3 linked regions of the Notamacropus eugenii genome follow. The main gene of each other region encodes a partner of the protein of the gene in region 2 in a complex. Links are inferred from orthologs where the notes say so. Each region holds a gene or a part of one and is shown on either strand. Other genes may lie near its edges.

The links.
Region 1: the proteins of protein S100-A4 (region 2) and MYH9 are in contact, whole or in part, in an NMR structure (PDB 2LNK), measured with the Homo sapiens proteins. The link is inferred for Notamacropus eugenii from reciprocal best matches to the Homo sapiens genes S100A4 and MYH9. Residues at the interface, in NP_002952.1 of Homo sapiens: Leu38, Ser44, Phe45, Leu46, Gly47, Lys48, Arg49, Thr50, Asp51, Ala54, Phe55, Lys57, Leu58, Asn61, Leu62, Ser64, Gln73, Glu74, Cys76, Val77, Phe78, Ser80, Cys81, Ile82, Met84, Met85, Cys86, Glu88, Phe89, Phe90; in NP_002464.1 of Homo sapiens: Thr1906, Ala1909, Met1910, Glu1913, Val1914, Ser1915, Leu1917, Lys1918, Lys1920, Leu1921, Arg1922, Asp1925, Leu1926, Pro1927, Phe1928, Val1929, Val1930, Pro1931, Arg1932, Met1934, Ala1935.
Region 3: the proteins of protein S100-A4 (region 2) and ANXA2 are in contact, whole or in part, in a crystal structure (PDB 5LPU), measured with the Homo sapiens proteins. The link is inferred for Notamacropus eugenii from reciprocal best matches to the Homo sapiens genes S100A4 and ANXA2. Residues at the interface, in NP_002952.1 of Homo sapiens: Lys35, Leu38, Pro43, Ser44, Phe45, Leu46, Gly47, Lys48, Arg49, Thr50, Asp51, Ala54, Phe55, Lys57, Leu58, Asn61, Leu62, Gln73, Phe78, Cys81, Ile82, Met84, Met85, Glu88, Phe89, Phe93; in NP_001002857.1 of Homo sapiens: Leu13, Glu14, Pro21, Ser22, Ala23, Tyr24, Ser26, Val27, Lys28, Tyr30, Thr31, Asn32, Phe33, Glu36, Arg37, Leu40, Thr44, Gln69, Asp70, Phe73, Arg77, Arg78.

What each region holds. Positions count from the first base shown.
Region 1 is NC_092874.1:293,431,303-293,439,175, forward strand, and holds the start of MYH9 (myosin-9), read right to left. Parts: upstream 3,055-7,873; 5' UTR 2,917-3,054; intron 2,118-2,916; exon of another isoform or gene 2,027-2,117; intron 650-2,026; exon of another isoform or gene 328-649; intron 8-327; exon of another isoform or gene 1-7. UniProt on the Homo sapiens protein: Cellular myosin that appears to play a role in cytokinesis, cell shape, and specialized functions such as secretion and capping. Required for cortical actin clearance prior to oocyte exocytosis. Promotes cell motility in conjunction with S100A4.
Region 2 is NC_092873.1:377,524,247-377,531,263, reverse strand, and holds the start of protein S100-A4, read left to right. Parts: upstream 1-3,992; 5' UTR 3,993-4,213; intron 4,214-6,604; 5' UTR 6,605-6,624; coding exon 6,625-6,765; intron 6,766-7,017. Other genes in the region: S100A3 (protein S100-A3), read left to right, coding at 292-432, 1,585-1,746. UniProt on the Homo sapiens protein: Calcium-binding protein that plays a role in various cellular processes including motility, angiogenesis, cell differentiation, apoptosis, and autophagy.
Region 3 is NC_092872.1:148,524,080-148,531,478, reverse strand, and holds the start of ANXA2 (annexin A2), read right to left. Parts: upstream 3,090-7,399; 5' UTR 2,723-3,089; intron 2,674-2,722; exon of another isoform or gene 2,533-2,673; intron 1-2,532. UniProt on the Homo sapiens protein: Calcium-regulated membrane-binding protein whose affinity for calcium is greatly enhanced by anionic phospholipids. It binds two calcium ions with high affinity. May be involved in heat-stress response.

The sequences.
Region 1 (7,873 bases), on a different chromosome or scaffold from region 2:
AACTGAGGTTAGTACGCATGCCTTACCCTGGGAGAGAATTGATTGGACACCTTCTCCCACAGCCAACTTAAATTTCATTATTTTTTTTAAAGCAAGGACCCCAGAGTTCCTCAATTATATAAGTTTTTCATCTGGGATCTCAATGGATCAGAACTGGAATGATCTAGAATCTCAAAGCTATATTTCTAGAAGGAGTCTTAAGAAATGCCGGCTCACATTTCTACCACCAATGGTGGCCACAGTCATCACATGCGTCATGTCATTTGCTTCCCACAAGAGCCCTAGGAGGCAGGTAGCAGGGCAAGTATCATTATCTCCATTTTACAGATGAGGAAACAGTCTGACTCGAAGACCACATTCACACAACCTGGCCAGTAGAAGAGTGGGACCAAGGACTTCTCTGGCATCCAAGTCCAGATGCACTGCTTTCCACTGCCCTCCAAACCAAAATGCCCAAGACTGAATGGCTCCATGGCTCAACAGCAGCATTTAATGAGTCGAGAACTCCTAACCTGTTGAAAACGGCAGCCTGTCCCACTCAGCCTGGGGTAAGCCAGCCATCTGTGGTCATGATGGCTCTAAAATTATAAGGCACAATTTTGAAGTTTTTAATTACCCCCAATTACCTACTAAATGACTCTTCACTTTCTGACTGGACTCAAACTTGCCTCAGTTAGCAAAGCCGGCAACATGCTTGGAGAATTCCTGGAACTCTCCTTTCTCACTCTCACTCCCCCCCAATCAAAAATAGGTTCTCCCTTCTTTGAACTCCCACAATGATAAGACCCTTCTCTTGAAGCTTCTACCACTATGTACCAACTACTGGCTAGCTAGTGCTGGGGGTGGGGGGTGGGGGTAGCATTAGTCGGCCTCCAAGCCCTCCCCAGATGTAGGATTCCGACTCTTACTGCTCAGGTAATCATCAGAGACTGAGATCTGAAGCCTGGTCCTCTACCAGCCTGTGAGCTACTTGAGATCAAGGTCTGTCCTATACAACCCACAGCAGCCAACCAAGAAAAGTTTGGTAAAAATATAAATAAATCTGATTCCTCTATTTAAGCGAAAAGGGTAAGAAGAAGCAAGTAATTGCTCAGCCTCCCAGAAAAATCAAACTTAGCCACATTGTTACAAGATGAACAAGCTGAGGTCTCTTGACTTTCAACAGTAACTGAAGCATCTTGTTACTTTCAAAGCCAGGAAAAGATGTCAATGAGAACCTAGCAGAAAGTGAATGAGTTCATGTGTGCTGGGGACAAACAGCTGGGTTTCTCTGTAAATACAACCTTTCCAGGCTCACTCTAGCCCACTGATGTGACTCGTTCTAAGTCCCTCACTTGTGGGCATTAGCTAGACCCTCCAATAACACCCTTCTCAGCTCAGGAGAGCTAATGAAATAGACCTTTTCTCTTGTGTCTTTGGAACAGCAGAGCTAACACCCTCTCCTTCCAGGGGCCTACCAGGGGACCTGCCCTCAAGCCCCACAGGGTGTGGCCCAGGAGGGGAAGGGGAAGGGGGGAGGAGAGGGCAATCAGGAAAAAGCCCCAAACATTTGCAAAACAGGAAAGAGGAAACTTAGGTCTGCCCAGAGAGCGGAGCCACAAAAGCTGGGTGGGCTCCTCCGAAGGGCAAGGTAATCAGAGTTGAGGGCTGCACCTCACCCACAGCAAGTTGGGGCAAGGTAAGGAAGACTGGCAGGCAGAAAGCCCAAAGCAATCCCATACCAGCACTTCGGCCCTAGGGGCCCTCCTCACCCAAGTCAAGGGTCAGTTGAGGGAGGAAGCAGTCAGGGAGATGGTGTGCCAGGCTGAAGCTCCCACTCCCTTCCTTGACCCAACTACCCCCACCCCCCTCCACCTCCACCCTCCCTTTCTCGGTTCCACGGAGCACAGCCAAGCGAATGAGGAAGTCGTGATGGGAGGGCGGAAACCAAGGCTGAGCTCAGAGCCATGTCTGCAGCAGGACTGTCTGCCCGTGACTCAAGAGGGAACCCCGACAGCTGCCAAGCGGTCTCCGGTCCGCCCGTTACCTCCGAGAAAGGCCTGGAGACCTCCACAGTGCCCGGAGCGGGCTGCCCCGGAGAGCCAGAGCCCGGCCAACGCAAGCCCCAAGGAGAGCTCAAAAGTCTGGCCAAGCCCTCCCGACAGGCACTTAAGGGAGTCCGGGGCTGGAGTGAGATAAGGAGTAGGGGGATGGGCAACTGCAGGAAACTGAGTCACTGAAGGCCCGAGGGATGCAGGGAAAGGGAGGAGAGCGCAATGCCAAGGGACCTGTAAGTTCCTGGAGGGCAGGCACTGGTTCTGTGTCTTTTACCTGGGGTTGGAACAAGGAAGAGTTTAAGAAATGCTCCTTCACCTGAAAGTGAGAGGAAGAGAAGGAACAGAAGAGGAGAGAAAGGGGAGAGGAGAAAAGGGGGAGATCAAGAGGGGAGAGAGACTCAAAGGGGGAGAGAAAGGGGTAGGTGGACAGAAAGCAGGGGAGACGGAAAGAGGTCAGAAAAGGGGTCACAAAAAAACAGAAAGGGGGAGCGGGAAGGACTAGGGAGTCAGAAAGGGGGTGAAGTCCAGGGGGCCTCCGGCCCTCGGGACGCCTCCCCCCACCAGGTGCCCAGCTGACGCCCCCACTCCAACCCCGGACCCCAAATTCCGACAATCCGAAGCCACTCTACGGCCGCAGGCAGTGCCTCCTCCAGGGCCCGGGGCCGCCGCGCGGAACCCCGGCAGGGCAGAGGTACCCGGCCGCCCGCCCGCATCCATTTCCGGGCCGGCCGCGGCGGAGAACCAAGCGCGCGCACGGTCGCCCGCCCGCCCGCAGCCGCTGAACTCTGCGTGCCTCGTCGCCGCCCGCCCCGCTCTCGGGCGCGCTCCCCGCGGTGCGCGCAGGAGACGCCGTTGGCCCCGGAGGACGCGGCCAGCTCACCTGAGCCGCGTCGGGTCCCCTCGAGCGGACGTGCGGCAGCTTCCGTGCACCGGCTCCGGCTTGCCACCTGCGCTCGAGCCGACAGAACGAAAACGAGCTGGAAGGACGGAACAGCGGGCGGACGGGAGGGAGAGAGCGAGGCCGGCAGCGCCAGCCAGCAGGTCAGGGTCGTTCTGTCTGGTACCCCGGCCGGCCTGCCCAGGAACGGCAGTGATCTGTTAGCCGCGCCTCGCCGCGCCGCGCCCAGCCCTGCCGCGCCTCTCCCCGCGCCGCCCAGCCCCGCCTTCCAGCCGCTCCCGCCCAATCTGCGGCTCCACGCGCGGCCCGAGATCCGCCCCCGGGGCATTCGTGTCCAATCGCAGCCCGCCGACGTATCGACGGACGGGCATCTCGGCCCATGGAGAGCCTAGGGGGCGGGACAATTGAAGCCAAAGGAATGGGCTTTTCCTTTAGCGGCCTTCACTTTTCCCCGCCCCCTGCCGCCTCGCCCTCCAAGGCCCCGCCCCCTCACTTCAAGTAGCCCAGTGGAAACCCGCTTTTGCGCTTGATAGATGGACAACTCGACCCGTGAGAAACGGAGTGGGCGGACGGAGAGGCGTTGGAAGCCCAGAGGACCGGGCTTTTCCTCCAACCCTGCAGTCTCCCTGCGGCCTAGGCGGGAGCCCCGCCCCCTAGAGGCTTTCCAACGGACCGCCGGGTTTGAGGACGAAGATTGGCAGGGGGCGGAGCCGGCAGCTTGGACTGGTCTTCCCGGCTTTTGGATGGGGCGAGGCCGGTGAAGGGAGGAGCAGGAGCTCGGGGCGGGCTTTATGGTTGTAGAGAGAGGGGCGTGTGGGGCGTGATCCCTCCAGCAAAATTTCTAGCGCTTCCCTACTTTCCCTACAAGTTCAAGGTCGATTGTACCCATTTTACAGAAAATGAAACTGGACCTCCGGAGAGAGGAGGAGTGACCGACAGGGGCACGCACCCAGTGGGGGCCCGAACCAAGATTTGAGTTCGGAGCTATCATCCGCCTCGAGCCCCAAACCGGACCTCTACTCGAGGGGCGCGGAGAAAATGCAAAACACGCTGCCCTGCCCCCCTCCCCACCCCGCCCTTCTCCTGAGTTCCCATTGTCCCAAGTGAAAAGGTGGCCCTCCTCCCAGCCCAGGATAACCTGTGCCCTTGGTCCCATCCCCCTCGGGCACCTGGGCCGGCCCCGGCGCTGATTCATCAGCCCTGCCCAGCCCCTCCCTCTGGCTGTACCCCTGCAGCTGTCCAGCTCTGTCCTCGTTGATATCCCCAGAAAGGCATCTTCCCTCCTCCGTGTTCTAGTCGCTGCCAGCCCCCGGGTCCCCAGACTCAGAACTCCACTGTCCTCCCCCGCCCCGAATATAGCCCGCTGCCCAATCTTGTCCTTTCCGCCCTTCCACCCTTTACTATGTGGGCCCTTCTCCATCTCCGCAGCCACCCCTCCCTTACCTGACTGTTCGCAGTCTGCCCTCTCCAGTCCACCATCCACCACACTGTCACCCCCTCTACTCAGCTATCCTTTATTATTCCCCATTGCCTCCAGGATAGCACGCGAATTATTCAGTGTGGGTAACCCTGAAAGAAAGCTCTCCAAATCCCCTTCCTAGCTCTCCCGTCTTACACGCACCTGCACTCTCCGATCTAACCACGCATAAGAGACTCCGTTCTCGGGACGTGCCAATACAACATAGTGTTCGTTTTGTATCATATGGGGTGTCCCAAAAGTCGCAGTGCTTAAGTCTAAGCCTTAGCAGCTTAGAACCACTCTAAGACTTTTTGGGACATCTTATATTCTGCACATACTTCCTATGTTTTCATCCCCCTATTAGAATTAGGGGTAGCTAGGTGGTGCAGTGAATAGCGCATGCAACCTGTGGTCAGGAAGATCTGAATTCGACTAGCTGTGTGACCCTGGGTAAGTCATTTACCCCTCTCTATCTCAGTTCCTCATCTGTAAAATGGGGACACATTGGAGGAGAAAATGACAAGCCATTCCAGTATCTTTGCCAAGAAGATTCCATGGGGTCCTGTAGAACAGAACTGACTGACAACAATCAGAAGGGACTGTTTTAATCCTGTCTTTGGATTCCCTGCTTTTGGATTGGTGGATTATCTGACACGTGGTATTACTTAATAAATACTTGTTGACTGATGGATTGATAGGATAGAAAGGAGATTAGAAATACACATATATGTATTGAGTGGGAGGGGGCCAGGAGTCTATGACTACCTTCAGCCCGATTAATGTCATCTCAAAAGGGCTAGACAGTTTGACTAAAGAGATCAATCAAAAGTGTAAACTTAATGCCAAGAAATCCTTAATCAATTTAAGAGGCATTAAGTGTTTGGATAATTGGATGATATATATGGATCAGCTGCACATCTGGAGGGAGGCAGCTGGGAATTAGCCAGTCTGGTGAGGCAAGAACCTCAGATGAACCCCCTTCTACAAAGGAATTCATGTTGTCTAATGATCCAGGGGAATGAGACTGTAAGGGGCTTGTGAGTGGCAATACAAGAAACCTTTGGGGTTACCCCTAGCACTAGGAGGTGAGAAGAACAAGCCTTCCAGAGTCCCAGCCAGCCACATGTGAGAGTTAGGGAAGTAAACCCAGAGAGGATGCTACAGGTAGATCTGAAACAGATACAGGGTGAGAGGGTGATGGGGGAGGAGACAATATTAGATGCAGGAATCCAGAAAGGTTTCTTGTCAAAAGTGTCACTTGAGCTGAGTCTTGAGGGAAATCAGGAATTTCAAACAAACCTTCATTTTAAAGATGTTCATAGGTAAGTCCAGGAGATTTCCTCAGGGTGTTCACTGAGGAATCTTTATTTTTTTTTTAAAGATGAGTATTTGGTGACTACCCAATCATAAAAGGCTATATTTTTAGTCATCAAACCAACTAAAGAAACTAAAATTAAAATTCCTTTTTAAAATTAGCTACTAAACTTTATACTTAAAAATATAGATACAAAATGTCACTATAGTGATGACCAGTCATACATAAAGATAGAAACCAAGTTCATGGTCTTTATTCTTGCTCAGACAAAGAATTCTACCACTACATTCCTATTGCCCTCTTAGAGATCATCAGTGATTGGAAAGCCAAGTTTCACGAAAGTGATGGGGCCAAAAGTCACACTGAGGGGAATAGTAGATGACAACTGGAATCCCTAATGGTAGACTGAGTTTCTCAAAGTGAAACAAGCAGATAGAGGTGAGAGAGGAAGTGATATGTTGAAAGAAAAGGTGACAATGGGATGATGAGAAAATGGTATTTTTCAAAATAGTTTGGGGAGATTAAACATTGTAACCCCTCCTGGGAAAATGGAGAGTCAAGGGGCATGAGAAAACCAATTAAGGAGGAGCCAGTGGAGTGGAAAAAATAGGAGGACAGGAGGTTGAAATCAAAAGGGGCCATTTCATGGTCCGAGATCTTCAGGGTCAAGTGATGAATAAAGGGATGAAACCAACAGAGGAAGAGAGAAAGGGACAATTGACATTTACATAAAACTTCAAGGCCTGAAAAGCATTTTATAGACATTATAGATAATATAGAGATATTATCTTTACAAATATTATAGATAGTATCTATATAGATATTATAGATACTATATGGATATTATTGTATGGATATTATCTTTCTAGATATAATTATATAGATATATTATAGATATTAGCTTCTCAGAACAGTTCTATGAGGTAGATGCGAGGGTTATTATTAATCCATTTTACAGGTCAGGAAAAGAGAGGATCCAGGTAGTTAAATTTCTTGCCCAGGGTCACACAGCTCATAAATGTCAGAGGTATGATTTAGACCTAGGTCTCCTATGGCTTTAATGCTTCCTCTCTTTCCATATCAGACTGTCATCATGAAAAAGAGACGACAGTTACAGAATCAAGGTGGGGGGAGCACAGAAGGAAAGATGGAAGGAGCAAGAAGGTATAAAGGATGAGATCAAGGGCATATGCTACAGGATTCTAGATCTACAACCAGAAGAGGCCTTAAAAGTCATCTAGTTCACTTCCCGCCATTTTATAGGTGAGAAAACAGACCCAAAAACATAAAAGTTAGCTTCGGAGATGGAGCAGTTAGCTTTGGCAAACCAAGACTGAAGAAAATGAGAAGGATGAAATTAATGCAGAGCTTTGAATTCTTCTCTGTCTTCTTTATAGGCTCTGCCTGTCCCCCTCCCCCAAGCATGGACTTCTCATAGTTTTTCTGTTTGTTTCTCTCCAGGGATTGGGGCACCTTCCTTGGAAATCTTCAAGCAGATACTGAAATACCACTGATTGGGTCTAGTACTGAAGGATTTCTTTCACTTATTGGTCCAATTCCATGGCTACTAAGGTCCCTTTCAACTCTCAAATCTTGTACATCTTTGTCTATGTCTCCCCGTACACTGTCTGCCATCTGCTCCCACAATGTCACCTAACCCCTCGATGTGGAGGATTCACAAATCTCTATGCTCAGCTTGGACCCAACTCAGTTCTACATTTCCAGTTACCCACTAAATATTTCTAGAGTACTCCCAACATTTCAAATTCCATGTGCCTAGAATTGACCACATCATTTTCTCTTCCTTCCCAAACTTGCTTCTCCCACCGTCCCCTGGATCTGCCAAAGGCATCACTATCCTCCCACTCTTCTGCAGTCCTTTGCCCTTTTCACCTTCTTCCTTCCTCGTCGCCCAGATCTAGTCAGCCTCTAAACTGCTCCTCAGATCTATATTTCTTTGTCTTTAACCCTCATGAGATGGTCATCACTTTGGCCTTCTTTCCTCTACACAACTATAAGCTCTTTGAGGATAGGAACATCAACTCAATAACATCTGGGTCCCCCAAAATGGAACTTAGGACAGTGTCTTTACCATAAATAATAAGTGAAATTGTCGTAATAAGAGAGACAACATATCAAAGGGAAAAGAGCAGCAGAGTTAGGAT
Region 2 (7,017 bases):
GAGCTTATGGCATTGTAGGTGGAAATGAGGATTTCTAACTTTCTAAAGTATTTGGGAATGTGGTATATTTGGTTTGTAGTTATACTTTAAGAGTTTGTGCTAATGTTGTTATCCTTTTCCTAAATGGTGAACATCATGATGGCAGGGTCCATGCGGTATCTACCCTGTGTACCTTCTTTAATGTCTTAGCAAATGGTTTTTGCTTAATAAATGTTTGCTGTATCTCATGACATGATATGCATTCATATGCCCTAGCTGGAGAATAATTGTGTCCTCCTTCCCCAAGTGACCATGCCATCAACCTTGGAGGAAGCATTGGCTGCCATCGTGGATACCTTCCAGCAGTATTCAGCGCGTTCCGGGGACAAATTCAAACTCTCCCAATGTGAGCTGAAAGAATTGCTGCTAAAGGAGTTGCCCACCTTAGCCCCGGTAAAAGGCCGTCAGGGGTCATGGTGAAGATGGGGTGGTGTGAGCTTTTATATTTCATGAGTTATCATTTCTTGAGCTGGCAATCTCGAGCAGAGTGGAATGGGATGTGATGGGAGTGGGGAGTAGGAGGCAAGATCCATGTTTTACAGATCGCTGAATTGGGAGTCAGGAGAGGCAGGCTCTGATCCCAGCGCTGACACTTAGCACCGAAGCCTACAGACTCATAAGTTTATTCAAAAGAAAAGCTGGAATAAAATTCATTATGTGTGAGCTGAAACTCCAAAGTAGGAGTTGCCATTATGATTTAGCATAGCATAGAAAACATCATTATCAGAGAAAGTACATTGTGATGAAATGCCCTTTGAAAGTAAATGTGTTACCTACTTCGAAGAGTGTTTTACAACAGAGGGGTGGAACTTGTAGCTAAGGATGCAAGCATCCCATAAAACTAGCAAGTGTAGCACACACCAGATTGAAATGTAATTGAGGAATGATTAACAAAATAAATAAAAATATAATACAATATAGATAATGTTAATTTGTGGTATTCTAAGTAAACACGTGGCCCTCTGGGATCCATTTCTATGGAATTTGTCATCACAGTTGTAAGGAAAGAACTTTAAACCTTTCAAGTGCTATATAGATGTGAGGTGATTATTAATTAATGATAATAAATGATGGAACAGAATGAAGGATATTTTTAAAAATAAAATTTTAGCAGTCTACATTTTTTTAATATCAGAAAATATAGTCTTTTTTGTGACAGCATGGGGGACTTTACAGTGTAATTCTTAAAGCCTTCAGTGGCTAGCCATACCTCTGGGGGCCATTTTCAAATATGAGGGACATCCTGACTAGGGTATATAAATGCCTTGTTCAAGCACTAAACTGGAGCCCAGAAAGGACTTCCTGACAATGAGATGTAGTCTTTCTGTACAATGTAGATTAAACAGACCATCATCAGTCTGAGAGACACCTGATAAAAATGATTTGCCCAGGGTCACACAGGGGCTCAGGGGATAAAGCTGAGGGACCCAGGTCTCTCGATGTCTAATCCAGTGCTCCTTCTATTATGTCATGGCACTGATTTGAGAAAGCCAAGAAGTTCTTCCTGTCTCAGTCTTTCTTCTTACTCTCTTCTACATTTCCCAGACGAGGCTCCGAGAGTGTGACTACAATACTCTCATGAGTGCATTGGATACAAACAAGGACTGTGAAGTGGATTTCACTGAGTACGTCCGAGCCCTGGCCTGTCTCTGCATCTACTGCCATGAATACTTCCGGGATTGTCCCCCTAACCCTCCTTGTCCTTAGTAACTCCATAAGTGGGATGGGTCAGGGATGGGGGGAGATAAAGTGAATTGATGCTTGGGATAGAGCTGTAACCTTGGTGTTATGTCCCTTCTACCTGGAAGTTGTCTTGGAGAGATTGAACGGTCACTTGTCTGCTCTGTGGAAAGCCAGGTTCTCCTTTGAGGATCCTTGTACTACATAATGGATGAGGTCTCCTAATCTAGACATTCCTTAATCTGTCTCAGTTTTCAGTTTGATTTAGGACCCTTAGGAAATTTCCCTTCTCCTCTTCCAGCTCTTTTGCTTCCTTTTGTCCTTCTCCTTGGGTCTGTGGTATTCTATTCTAATTCAAGAATACACTAAGAAAGTACTTTGGGGAGGTAAAGAGAAGACATAGAGAGATGGTGGGGTTAGTAGGAATGAGGTACTAGGGATGAAATTCTTTTCATTGTTCATGTGCTCACCAGTGTGAATGATCTCTCAATAAAAATGGCTGTTGTTCCAGCTCCCTTTGCGGTGGTTTGGTTATTCTTAAAAGGGAATGGAATAGGGCTGGGCTGGGCTTCTTTGTTACTGAGACCCAACTGTTTTGTCTAATACCTCAAATTCCAGCCATCCTCCTAAGGAACTGGGATTCCCTGAGTCCTGTGAATAAAAACTGAGGGGGTACTTGGAGAACTTGTTGATATTACTAGTTGGGAGAAGAGGCTTTATGTTCTCAGCTAGTCTCACCATCTCTAGAGGAAGGAGGATCAGGAAGAAGAGGGAGTGGTTTTGAAACTGCTGCAAGAGATTTGTGGTTAGATTTGAAAATGGAGAGTATACACATTGGATGAAGGGAGTGCCCTCTGAACATCTAGAGCAGGGGGTCAAATTTCAAGGGGGTCTAGTGAATGGGGGAAAAAAATTACATCTTTATTTTCACTAACCTCTAAATGAAATTTAGCAACTCTCTCAATCATTTGAATATTATTCTGAAGAAAACTTCATCAGACTGGCAAAGGGGTCCATGGCACCAAAATAAAAGTTAACAGCTCCTGAACTACAGGCTTTTCCTCTCTGGGGGTCTTTGAGAGAGAAATACTGGTGGTGGGCTGGAGAGGGAGGCTGTGATAGGGAGAGGTGAAGCACGTCTCAAATCCGGGTTCAGGAGGGCCACTGGGTAACAGTGCTTCCACAACAGAGCACCAGTGAAGTGGAGGGTGGGGCCTGGGTGGGGCTGCCCATTTCTAGCCTGGGGCTGTGGGGAGCCGCCAGGGCTGAAATGGCGGCACTAATAGGATTAAAGCTGATGGCCTGTTTTCTTCTCGTTTTCTGGTATACCTCTCCCAACCCCAGTCCAGAGTAAGGGGACAGCATCTGGGAGAGATACCCCTGTGCCTTGGTCTGATAACTGATTAGCAAACCTTTGAAGATATTTTATCCCTACTCTCATCTCCTGATATGTAACCTTAGGATGCCATCCTCAACATCCAAGTGTCCCGTATCCCATAGGTTCATGTGTCCCCCTTTATTCTGGCACCCCCACCTCACCCCCATATACACTCTCATGTGTACTCTTTCCCTCGATTTGTGTCCCTCTTCACCTTCTCGGGTCTCATTCTGGGCACTCATGTGTCCTTCCCTCCCTGTTCTGATTCATTCCAGATGCACATGGGTGCACCCCCCACCCCAATCCTGACAATCAGCCCCATCCTACACACTCATGTGTTCCCCTTCCTTCCTTCGTCCCTACACTTGGACTCCTTCTGGGCACTCAGCCACAAACTCCAGAGGATAACAGTACTTGGAGATGTTTTTCTTTCCATGGAGTATTTCCCAAGCATTCTCCAAGTCTTTTTCTCTGGAGTTAGCCTGGCATCCACTTCCATATCCTTCACACATATATCCTGCTATGTCTAGGAGAGCCACACCCTCAGCAGAGCCCTGCTCCCCATGAGGCAAAGGGACTAAGTGGCCCCCTCTCTCACACCAGATCAGTCCTGTGCCCTGGGTCTTTCTTCCTTCTGTTCTAGAAGATTCTTAGTTTTGTAGGAATTTTCCATCCTCATGCTCTCCCCTCCCCTTTCCCCTACAACTTAACAAAGACTGCATACCCCCCTCTTATTGTAGCCCCTCCTACAAAGTGGGGTTGGGGCTCTACCTACTCCTTCAGATTGGGGGCTCAAGGCCTGTGGGCGCTGTCTGGCTCTATTTTCAGGGTTCTCTCTCTCTCTGATGGGGGGGAGTAGTCCCTGAAAACTATCCCTGTATTAGTGCCTCATCTTGTGTAAGCTTTGCTCACCCACCAGCCAACGTGAGCTAGGAGGTGGAAGAGGCCTTGCTATTGGTCTTCTCTGACCCAGCATCAGGGAGGGGGTGTCCCAGCTCCCCTCCGCCCCTTGCCACAGGCAGGGTTTGGCTGGGGGTATAAATAGGCCCTGGCTCAGCCCTCCCCACTGTGTCCCTCTCTCTCTCCCCTCTCTGCATTTCTTCTCTGGTTGGTTTGGTGAGTTGTGGTTGACTTGGCCGGGGATGTGGGTGACAGGACCCTAGGGCCTGGTAGACAGAGGAGGCTGAGTGGGGGCCAGATGTAGGAAGTAGATCCAGATGTGAGGATCCTACAGAAAGACTCTGAGGAAGGAGTGGTGAAGAGGGGTAGGTGTTTCAGGTTTGAGTTGTAGAGAGATGCCAGGGTGGGGTGGAGGAGTGTCCCAGTGGGGGAAAGATTGCAAGACCATCTGACTTGGATGCTGTATGCATGTTGCATATTACATCTCTGCACCTGGAGAGTGCATCTGTGTCAGCAGCATGTAGTCATGTTTCATGCATGTACATATGTACATGTGGAGCTGTGTAGTGGCTGTGTAGAAACCTCACTTCTGATCTCTCTCCCGAGCAGGGGAATAGCTCCCCCTCTGTCCACTTCTCCTCCCCCTCCTCTCCTTCCTAACTCACCCTCCCCTCTGCTTGACTGTTTTTTTCCATTGTCAGTCCCAGGGCCTGTCTCCAGAAGCAACCGCCCACTCCTGTGCACAGAGCAGAAGAATGGGCTGGGGAGGGCTAAGCTTTGGGGAATGTGTGAGTGTGAGTGAATGAGTGGTGGAAAAACCGAGCTGGAGATTACCATTGCTAGCTTGTTGTTGTGGTACTGGGCACTGAGAGGAGCCTAGGGTGGGGCAGGCATTGCAGAAACAACTTCCTAGGGCGACTAGGCAGGCGAAAGAAACTAGAGAGGAAACTTCAGGGCAACAGTTTTGTGCAGGGAGGTGGGGACAGAGGACTGGTTTAAAAAATGACCTTTAATGTGTTCTAAACTTAACTGGATGCAGTGGCAGATTTTCTCTGAAGAGGTGCAGTGTGCCTGGCAGGGAGGCATCGGAAGATCTGGGCCCCACTCTGCTTCAGTTTCCTCACATAAGAGGCTGCCAACCAAGAGAGCTTCCCTGAACCTCCTATATGGGGAAACTGAGGCAGGGTGGGGTTCGGCATTCTTCAATCTTTTTGTGCTCCCTCAGGCATAACTATAGTAGGGGCTGCAGTATGAATTGTCAGTCCTGAGTCTAAGGACTATTTGGCCTTCTTTGGAGGGCCTCTTCTCTTTATTGTCTGACCCTGCTTGGGCCAGGGCTAGTTTCTCTGTCCTGTCGGTTCGTGCCCTCAGGGTGGTGAATCCTGCCCCATTCATGCTTTACTCTGAGAGGAGCCCAGAAGTCAGCTCTCTAGGGAGGTGTCCAGAATCGTCCTGTCTTGAAGGGAGGAGCTGGGACCCTGATGGTCCCAGGGTGAAGGGTTCAGAGGATGGGGTGGAATGCTGACATTTATGCTGGTTTTGGATCTATAAAGTGAGGAGCTCAGTCTAGATTTAGTGGTTCCCAACTTCTTTGAGTAGGTAGACACTTTTTAATGTAAAAAAATTTCTAGATCCTCCCCTCCCACCTCATTATAGTAAAAATATAGAATATATAGAAAATATAGGGAAAATAGAAAAATTAGCATAAGTTGACTCAGAATAACAACAAAAATTCAGTAACACTTTTGAATGCACCTACTATAATCAAAAAATAGTAAGATGTGTGAGATTTTTATTTTACTTATTTATTACATATTTATATATATTATCATGTATTGATAATATATTCTTTATTTTGAGTCACTGCAATTACTCAAAGTCCATAGTCAGGGAATGGCTGCAACTAGACAGATGAGCACTAAGGCTTCTTATCTCTGCCCAGAGAAAGGAAGCAAGTTGTTCATAGTCACATGGGTAATAAACCAGAATTCAAATCCAGATCCTGTGGTTCCAGATCCAGGGTACTTTCCACTTCGTCTTGTTATCCAAGCCAGTTAAATTTGGAAGGTTCACCTCTGGAAGAGCAGCAGCCAGTTTACCATGCTTTTTGGACTGCCTTAGCAGTGCCCTAACATGATCCATCGTGATCACTTAAGGAATAATAGGTTGTCTATACAGGGAGCCCTGTCTAGGGTGGGGCATCCCAGGCATTGCCTCAAGTCCTCCAGATGAATATGAACAACTGAGTCTAGAACCTCAATAAGAAGAATAATGAGTTAAAATGGAAAAATTGGGTTTTTTCCTAGATTTCATTTCCCTTCCTCTAACCTTCCAAATGATTTTTCTTAAAAAAAGGTGCTGATTTGAGGGCATTTTTCTGACTTCTCACTCCATCATTGGGTTTTCAGAAGCTTATTCTGGGCTAGAAAGATGTGGGTTTCAGTTCTATTTCTATAGGAATCACTCACTATTCGTGTTGGTGGTACTGAACTCATCAGAGGAGGGAGGTTCCCACATGGATGACATCACCCATTCTTGAAGTAGTCCAACACAATCCCACATCCACTCTGTCCCAAATCAAAGGTGTCTTCACTTGCTCCCTCCTAGGTGCCCCTTAGGACAGTATCATGGCAAGCCCTCTGGAAAAGGCTCTGGATGTGATGGTGTCCACTTTCCACAAGTACTCTGGGAAGGAGGGAGACAAGTTCAAGCTCAACAAAACAGAGCTGAAGGAGCTGGTGACTCGGGAACTCCCTAACTTCTTGGGGGTGAGTAGTGTGTATGTGTGCTGTGGAATCCATAGATCAGCTCCTGCCTCCAGCTCTCCTGCCACTCGAGACGCCTGTTGACCACATATTCTCATTTATTATAATTATCATATTAACTATTATAGCTAATTATTGTAGAAGAAAGGTTCTTAACCTGGGGTTGGTGAGCTATGCTATTATATTTATATATTATATTTTAATATTTCATGTTATATGATTTTATTTTTATATTTAAGTATAGTTGGTAATAGT
Region 3 (7,399 bases), on a different chromosome or scaffold from region 2:
AAAGAAGATAAACTTCATTGAAAGGAGGGGAATTTTTAGTGAGCATGAACTGGGTGTGGCAGCATTCAAGCACCAGGGGAAATGGGGATCCCCGAGCTTAAAAAGGAGGAGTAGCAATTGTCTATCTAATTAATTCGGACAATTACATCTAAAGCTAGGTCAAAGCTGTCACTTTAAGCAACACAAGCCCACAACAGGCTACCTGAGCTATTTATGTGAAGACCGACTGGTTTAAAATGAAAGCTCTCTGTATGACTATTAACTCCAACATTACAAGTGTTAACGTTTTAGTGAGTCATTTACCCCCATTTTTGCCATATCAACCACAGCAGTAACAGAAAATTAATTTAGGGATGTAGTCACTAGATTTGGAGTCTGAAGACCTCCTTAGATCCCATATGGAATAAGATGGCCTCTAGGTTCCTTTCCCAGCTCTAAATCTATGATTCTTTTTTCCAGTTATCTTTGTAACCATCTAAAGCAGGTCTGTAGGATTTATGACAATTTGTGCTTCCTGAATGAAGACCTGGTACTCAATGGATTGGTGCCATTAAATCCATCACCAGAGGAAAAACACATAGCCCCTTAAATCAATAGCAATTAGGGAAGAAATGTGTCTCTCCTTAGACCGGTTTTTTTCCAAAGACATTAATAGAAATATCAATCAGAAAGCTAGGGGTCATAACTACAGGAATAAAATCAATCAGCTTTAATATCACAAAGACATAATGCATTAACATTGCATTTCCAATCCATATTTATATTCCTGACCAGTAAGCAACTTTTATGGAGCCTTTATCAGGGCCATGCCTCTGAAGAGAAAATGGTGGATACTACAGACAGGCCTCAGCCTGAAAGAACCCATGCTGCCACAATCCCTGCCACACCCACTCATGGTGTGGCAAGTGAGTCATCGCTGCCATGGAAAAACCGTTTGTTCTGAAATCAAAGGACTTCAGGTTTGGATACCAGCTCTTCCAATGAACTTCCTAAGACTCTTCCCGGGTCTAATATTCCATGATTTCCCTACCATTCCTAAAATAATTTACAAATAAACTTCTTGGCCCAACACTGTAGAAAAAGTATGGACTTTCTTAAAAGCCCTCAAAGACTCACAATCCATTAGAGAATAAGTGAACCCATTTTAGGCTGCTCTTTCATAGAGAAAATAGGTAACTTACACTCCAAGGTCACAGGATATAGAGATGGGAGTGCCCTTAGAAATAATCAAATACTACTATCTCAATTGACAGATATGGTAACCCCTGCCAGGAAGTGAAGTGACTTGCCTTATGGTCATCGAGATAAGAGTCAGAGACAATTTAAACCTAGATTCTCCAACTCAAAATGCAGCATTCCTTCCACTGTACCATTCAGTTCCTTCTACTGCAGGCAAGTAAGGAGAAGAGTTATCATTATCCCCATTTCACAGATGAGGAACCCAATGTTTTGAGGTTATGTGTTTGCTACTGGAATCTAAATCTATTGCTCTTTCCGTTCTATCCAGTCAGCACAGGCATGTCATAAATTCACTCGGCCCATCACAGAAGTAGCCACTTGGGCCTAAATCTATTTGGAAGGCCAGGCCTCTCTGTAGGCTCTGAATTCATATACTCAAAGAATTAGAACCAGTAACACCTTCCACCATATTACCCCCATCTGAACTATCCTGTTAGGCCAAGGGCAAAACTGTAGTTCCCCCCTTTCCCCCCCCCCACCATGGCCACAACCCTGCCTACTGCACCAATACTGGGGATGGGGGATCCAAGGGATACTGGGATCCGTTGGTAAAAGCTGCTCCCACCCTTTCAGAAGAAAAGAAGGTGGGAAGAAAAGAAAAAGGAGAGAAAAGAAAGAGGGATAAAAGGAAAGGGGAATCGTAAATAGAGGGAAATTAAAGAAGGAAGGAAAAGAAAAACAAAAGGAAAAAGAAAAGGACGACTCCCAAGAACAGAAGGTTTGAAGCTACTATAGCCATCTGTGCCCGCTGTCCGTAGGACTTCCCTCAGGATGCAGCAATGCAACCAGACTAGCTCTCCCCGGTTCCTTCCAGTCATTAAAAGCAGGGGATTGCACCAAGAGAGTTCATGGAACCTTTATTTAAGGCCAGTTACTTGACTTCGGAAATGTCTGTGCACTTTTTACATAAATAAACGTTGAAAACCCCACTTGGTGGAAACTTCTCGCATCCGCCGCGGCCCTCGATCACTGCACCGCCACGCCCTTACCTCCCTGGAATGCAGGGACCCTTCACCCTCGCCTGAAGCTGGGCGCCCGTGCCCCCCGTTGTGCGGCCTGCGCGCAGGCTGGGAGGCTCCGACGGGCATCTGGCCACACTCCCGCTCTCCCCAGGTGTCCTGGCCCGAGCCCCGCGCCCCAGGAGCCTCGCCCGGGGCCCGTCTCCCGGGTGGTCATCCCCCTCCGCCCCAAAGCAAGTCTGAGGCCCTTTGCAATGGCCTTTTTTTTCTTTCAAGAACTTCTCCCTCCCCGCTATAGCCGAAGGACCGGAATAGCGGGCGGGCCACGCCTTACCTGTGCCAAGCGCGGACAGAGCAGAGAGCTAGTCGGGCTTCGGGCAGAGCCGGGACCGCTTGGGTGGGGTTTTTATCCTCTGCCACATCCTCAGCAGGAGCAGTCCCCGCCCCGCCCCTCCCCGCCCCGCCTCTTCTCCCCCTCCCCAGGACCTCCCCTGATTCATAGTGACTCACACACACACACTCACCGTGGCAGGAAACATTGTGCAAAAACTTAGCTAGCAGGGCGGGGTTCCCCGGGGGTTCAGTGGGAGCCCCAACGTTAACCGGCTGAGCATCAAGTTCTGACCTCTCCAACAAAACCTTCCTAGCTATTATTAGAAATGAGGCCCCAACTGGCTTTCTCCTGCTTCTGCTGGTCCAAGGTCTACCCTCCGGACTTCTTGCCACCCATTCCTTCTGGGTTCTTGACCCCCTTCCTTGTTCAACATCACATCAAGTTTAGAGAGCTGAGAAAGGGGTCGGAGAAAGAGGGCAGGGGTGTGAAGTTTAGGGCGAGGTTGGTGTGCTTGCTGTTAAAGAAGTAGCCATCCCTCAGCTTGGTTAAATAGTTTCACGTTCTGATGTTGTCAGTGTAAAAAGCAGAAAAGGGGGTTGGTTGTTCCAGGAAACATAAATCTCTGTTCCTCCGAGCTAAGGCTGCTGGCACTCGTCTATTGTCTGCAAAACTATTAGCTTAACCTTAGACAAGGCAGTTCCCAGAAGAAAGCCACAATGCATTATCAGAATGAGCTTGCTGCAGCACTTGGTCCTTGGCATATCTGTCTGTCCTTTAATACCCAAAGAAGTGCATGGAAAGGAGTCATTGCGGGCTTCCAAATGTCAGAGTTTCACATTTGGGCAAGCCCTGGCAACACATCGCTGCAGCACTCAGCCAGAGTTTGAATAGGGTGGGTAATAGAACTGTTCCTGGCTCATTGGAAATAGAAACCTCAAAGCCAAGTTTCCAAACTAGAGGAAACTCCTTTACTCCAGAGTAAATTTTACTCATCACAATTTCCACTTCTCCCTGAGAAGTTTCTGAGTTCTGGGTATATGCAGTGGGTTTTACAAGCAGTTTTTATTCATATATGTGCTATATATTCTGGAAGTTTACACTGTCTTGGAGGATCTGTTGATCCTGCAAAATTGTCTACAAACTTAGACCATTGGGTTAGTGTCATGTCAGTCCAGTCCCAATATTGGATTTCTTTTCTCCCTTGTTTTAGCACAGTTGTTATTTCTCAGTCATTTATCCCTACTCCCTTGACTTTGCCCCCATTTCCCTAAACTCCATCTCTCACCATTAATACTTTGTTTGGACAGTGTTCTTACTTGGCAACCAATGAGTAAACAACATTTTTGTTTGATTTAGCAACCAGTCATTTTTCTTCTCAATTTATCTAAAAAGCTCCTGGTAAAATTATTAAACGTCTTGTCACTACCTCCCCCTATTTGAATGCTTCCCTTTTTTCCTTCCTGTTTTTCATATTCAAGGTATTCTTCCTTTTCTTCAAGATTTTTTTGGTCTTCCATTCTCATCTTCCCTTCCTACTTAGTTATATTTTGTCTAAATCTATCCTCCTTTTCTTTACAGATGAGTTTGGAACCCCATTCTTCTAGCCAGATATCAAAGGTTCCCACTTTTTAAAAAATTTCAAATCCCTCCAAAATATCCCATGAGGGATCTATGATAGACTTTAAGTGAAAGATGTAAAGAAAAAGAAAACATAAAGGTCACATGTCTGACATTAGAATAGCTTTAATATAATTCCTGGACTGCATTTTTTTTTTCTGAAACTTAGACTAAAAGGCCTTAAGGCAGAAACCATGTTTATGTACCTACTCCAAAAGTAGTGTTGAGATAAGGATTGTCAGCACTCTGCCAGTATCACTTTCATGAAATAACAGCTATGGGATATTTAGAATTTCCTTTTTCTGACACAAGGCCTTTTTTAATCCCTTGGACTGGCAGAGAATATGCTTCCAATTGCATTAGTGATAGGTACTGTCAAGAAAGCATTTCATTCAAAAGATACAATGTGTTGAGACCTCAAAGATTTAAAAGAACATCTTTCTTGATTATTTTTTCTAATCCATACTTAGTTGACCATCTGAAATATAAAGCCCAATATAACAAATTAAACAAACTCTGATTTGTCAATAATGACCTAAGCTTGGAGGGATGGGGATATATGGCTTGACATTGCTAATTTGGGAAGTTCCTGTCAACATAACTGGATTTTTTAAAACATAGAATCATGGAATTTTAGAAAGGGAAGAGACTTTAGCAGTCATCTACTCCAGTGGTTCCCATTTAGTGATCTGTGATTATCCAAGAAGTTCATGCTAAAAATTCTTTACCTTATGTTTGGTAGTAGATTATTGTCCAGTTATATCACAAAAATATTTTTCTCTGTGACAATAAGAATGTATATGTTTGAAGCATTACAGATTTATTTCTCCAGCTATCTGAAACTGTCATTATCATACATACATTTTGGTGTTCATGCATTGATTATATCAAATTTGACCTGCTTCTAAGTGCTATGTGTTTTTGCAGTTTCTCAACCTGTCATCAAATTGTTTCCAAACCACCATAAGGGTTCAACATGCAAGCACAAACCAATTCCCAAGACACAGTCAGACTCAAATGCATTTTCCCATTTGTATTCTGTACACTTCACCAGAGTAGCTCCCTTGTTATGATCTGTTACCCTATAATCATGTTATAAATTATATCATCATGCGATCTAGGTGTTATGAATGTTTGTGTTCTTACCACTAAATGTCAAAGTATTCGAAAATCAAAGTGTGAACTAGGCAGGCACATTGCAAGCCATCTTGAAATCATCATGGACCATCAAATTTGTTCTGTAGAAATAAATTCTAGATCACCTTTCATTGTAGTATTAAGGCTGTTTTCCAGTTTAAATTTATACTGCTCTTATGTTACTATTCTCTCCAGTATATTTTCAAATTTTTGGTTGGCAACACCAGTCAGTCATTTAGTAGAGTTTCTGTAAGGAAATCATGTCCAAAGAGATTTTTTCCTAAAAAGGTTAGTTTATATTATTTATAATCAAATATGTTACTTATATTATGAAAATGAAGCAATATATGCAATTGAACTTTAAATATACTGATCATTTAATATAGCACTTATTATTAGCTAATAGAAAAGCAAGTATTTTCTATCATAACTAGCTATTCATTTTCATCAATTGATTAGGAGGCTAAAATTTTTTCAAATGATTTTCCATCTCTCAACAAGAAAGCTTGTAAAATTCTTTTACCATTTTCTAACACAATTGCATGAGCAAGTATTTTTACTTTATTCTTGTTTAAAATCAAAATACAGAAATAAACTCAATAAAGAACCAGATATAAGACTGTGTTTATCTGTTGAGTCAAATGTTATGAATATTTGTTTAAATAAAAATGTTCAGTTTTGGAATTAAGTTGATTTTTACAAACATCTTCCAAGTTCTTAGTTCAGGAAAATGTAACTTATATTCAATAAAATCGTAAAATAAAGAAATTTAATTTGAAGTCTTGCATATTATAGTAAGCATATGAGGTCTTGCTGAATCACCTCTTAATTCTTACAGAATGTGCCACAGAAAATATTCATAATTATTTTATGATTAGTTTTGAAATTTTATATTTAGTTTTCATAATTAAAGGTAGAGTCAAATTTTATATTTTATAATTATATAATACAGATTTTAATTTGGGGGCAAAAGTTAGCATTGTTATAAGTACTTAAGGAATAACTCTAAAAGAATATCAAGAGAAGTATATGAAATTACTCTATAGGTTCACAACACCTTTTTCTGTTGTTGAGAGGGGTTCAAGAACCAAAAACTTTTGGAACCACTGATCTACTCTAAACCATACCCCAAAAGAAATGCCCTGCATTATATACCTAATGAGTGGTTATCCAGTCTCTTTCTAATGAGGAAGCACTCACTACCTCCTGAAGCAGCCTACTGGAATGATTCTTCTAATTGTTAGGAAATTCCTTACAGTAAGCCTCAATATGACTCTGCAGCATCCAGCTATTGCTCCTGGCTATGCCTTTTGGGACCAAACAGAACAAATCCAATCCTTCTTCTGCATGATTCCCTCTTGTTTTATGTTTCTTTCCAGAGGTGGCCAACTGTTTACTGGACCAGACCTCATATTATATTCATTGGTATGCTATCTCTCATGGAATTCATCAGAGAATTTTAGGATTGGAAAAGACTCCCATGATCCCCTAGTTCAAGACTATCAAGATAATAAGTGGTACAGTGAAAAAATATTGGACATGGAATTAGGTAGACCTGAGTTCAAATCTTGCCTTGAGTACTTATTAGATAGTAGGAAAGGCACTAGTACGCTCAAGGGGGAAGTCACTTAACCTCTCTCAGCCTCAATTTTTTTAATCAGTATAAGAGAGATAATAATAGGGTCTTTGTGAGGATCAGATGAATAAACACATATGAAACATTTTGCTTAAGAATAGCAGAAAGCTGGGTTCTAGTTCTGCTTCTGACACATATGATATATGACCCATTACTTTCAGTGCTCTATAGTTAAGACTATAAACTCATAAAAGGTTCCAATGTGTATTGCTAGAGAGAACTCTCTATTCAGATGAAATCATAGGTCTAATCTCTAGCAAGCAATGGAAAGGGGAGAAGAAGGGTACTAGATGTATAGGGCCTGCACCAAAAGGATAGCACAACCCTGTAAGGTAATGTGATTATAATTACGTTTGAGAAGCAACATGGGGCAATGGCCAAGGCACTACACTTGAAATCAGAAAGAGCTGGGTTTAAATACCTCCTCAGATGCTTACTTCCTGTGCAGCTTGGGCAAGCCTCTTAATTCTCAGTTTT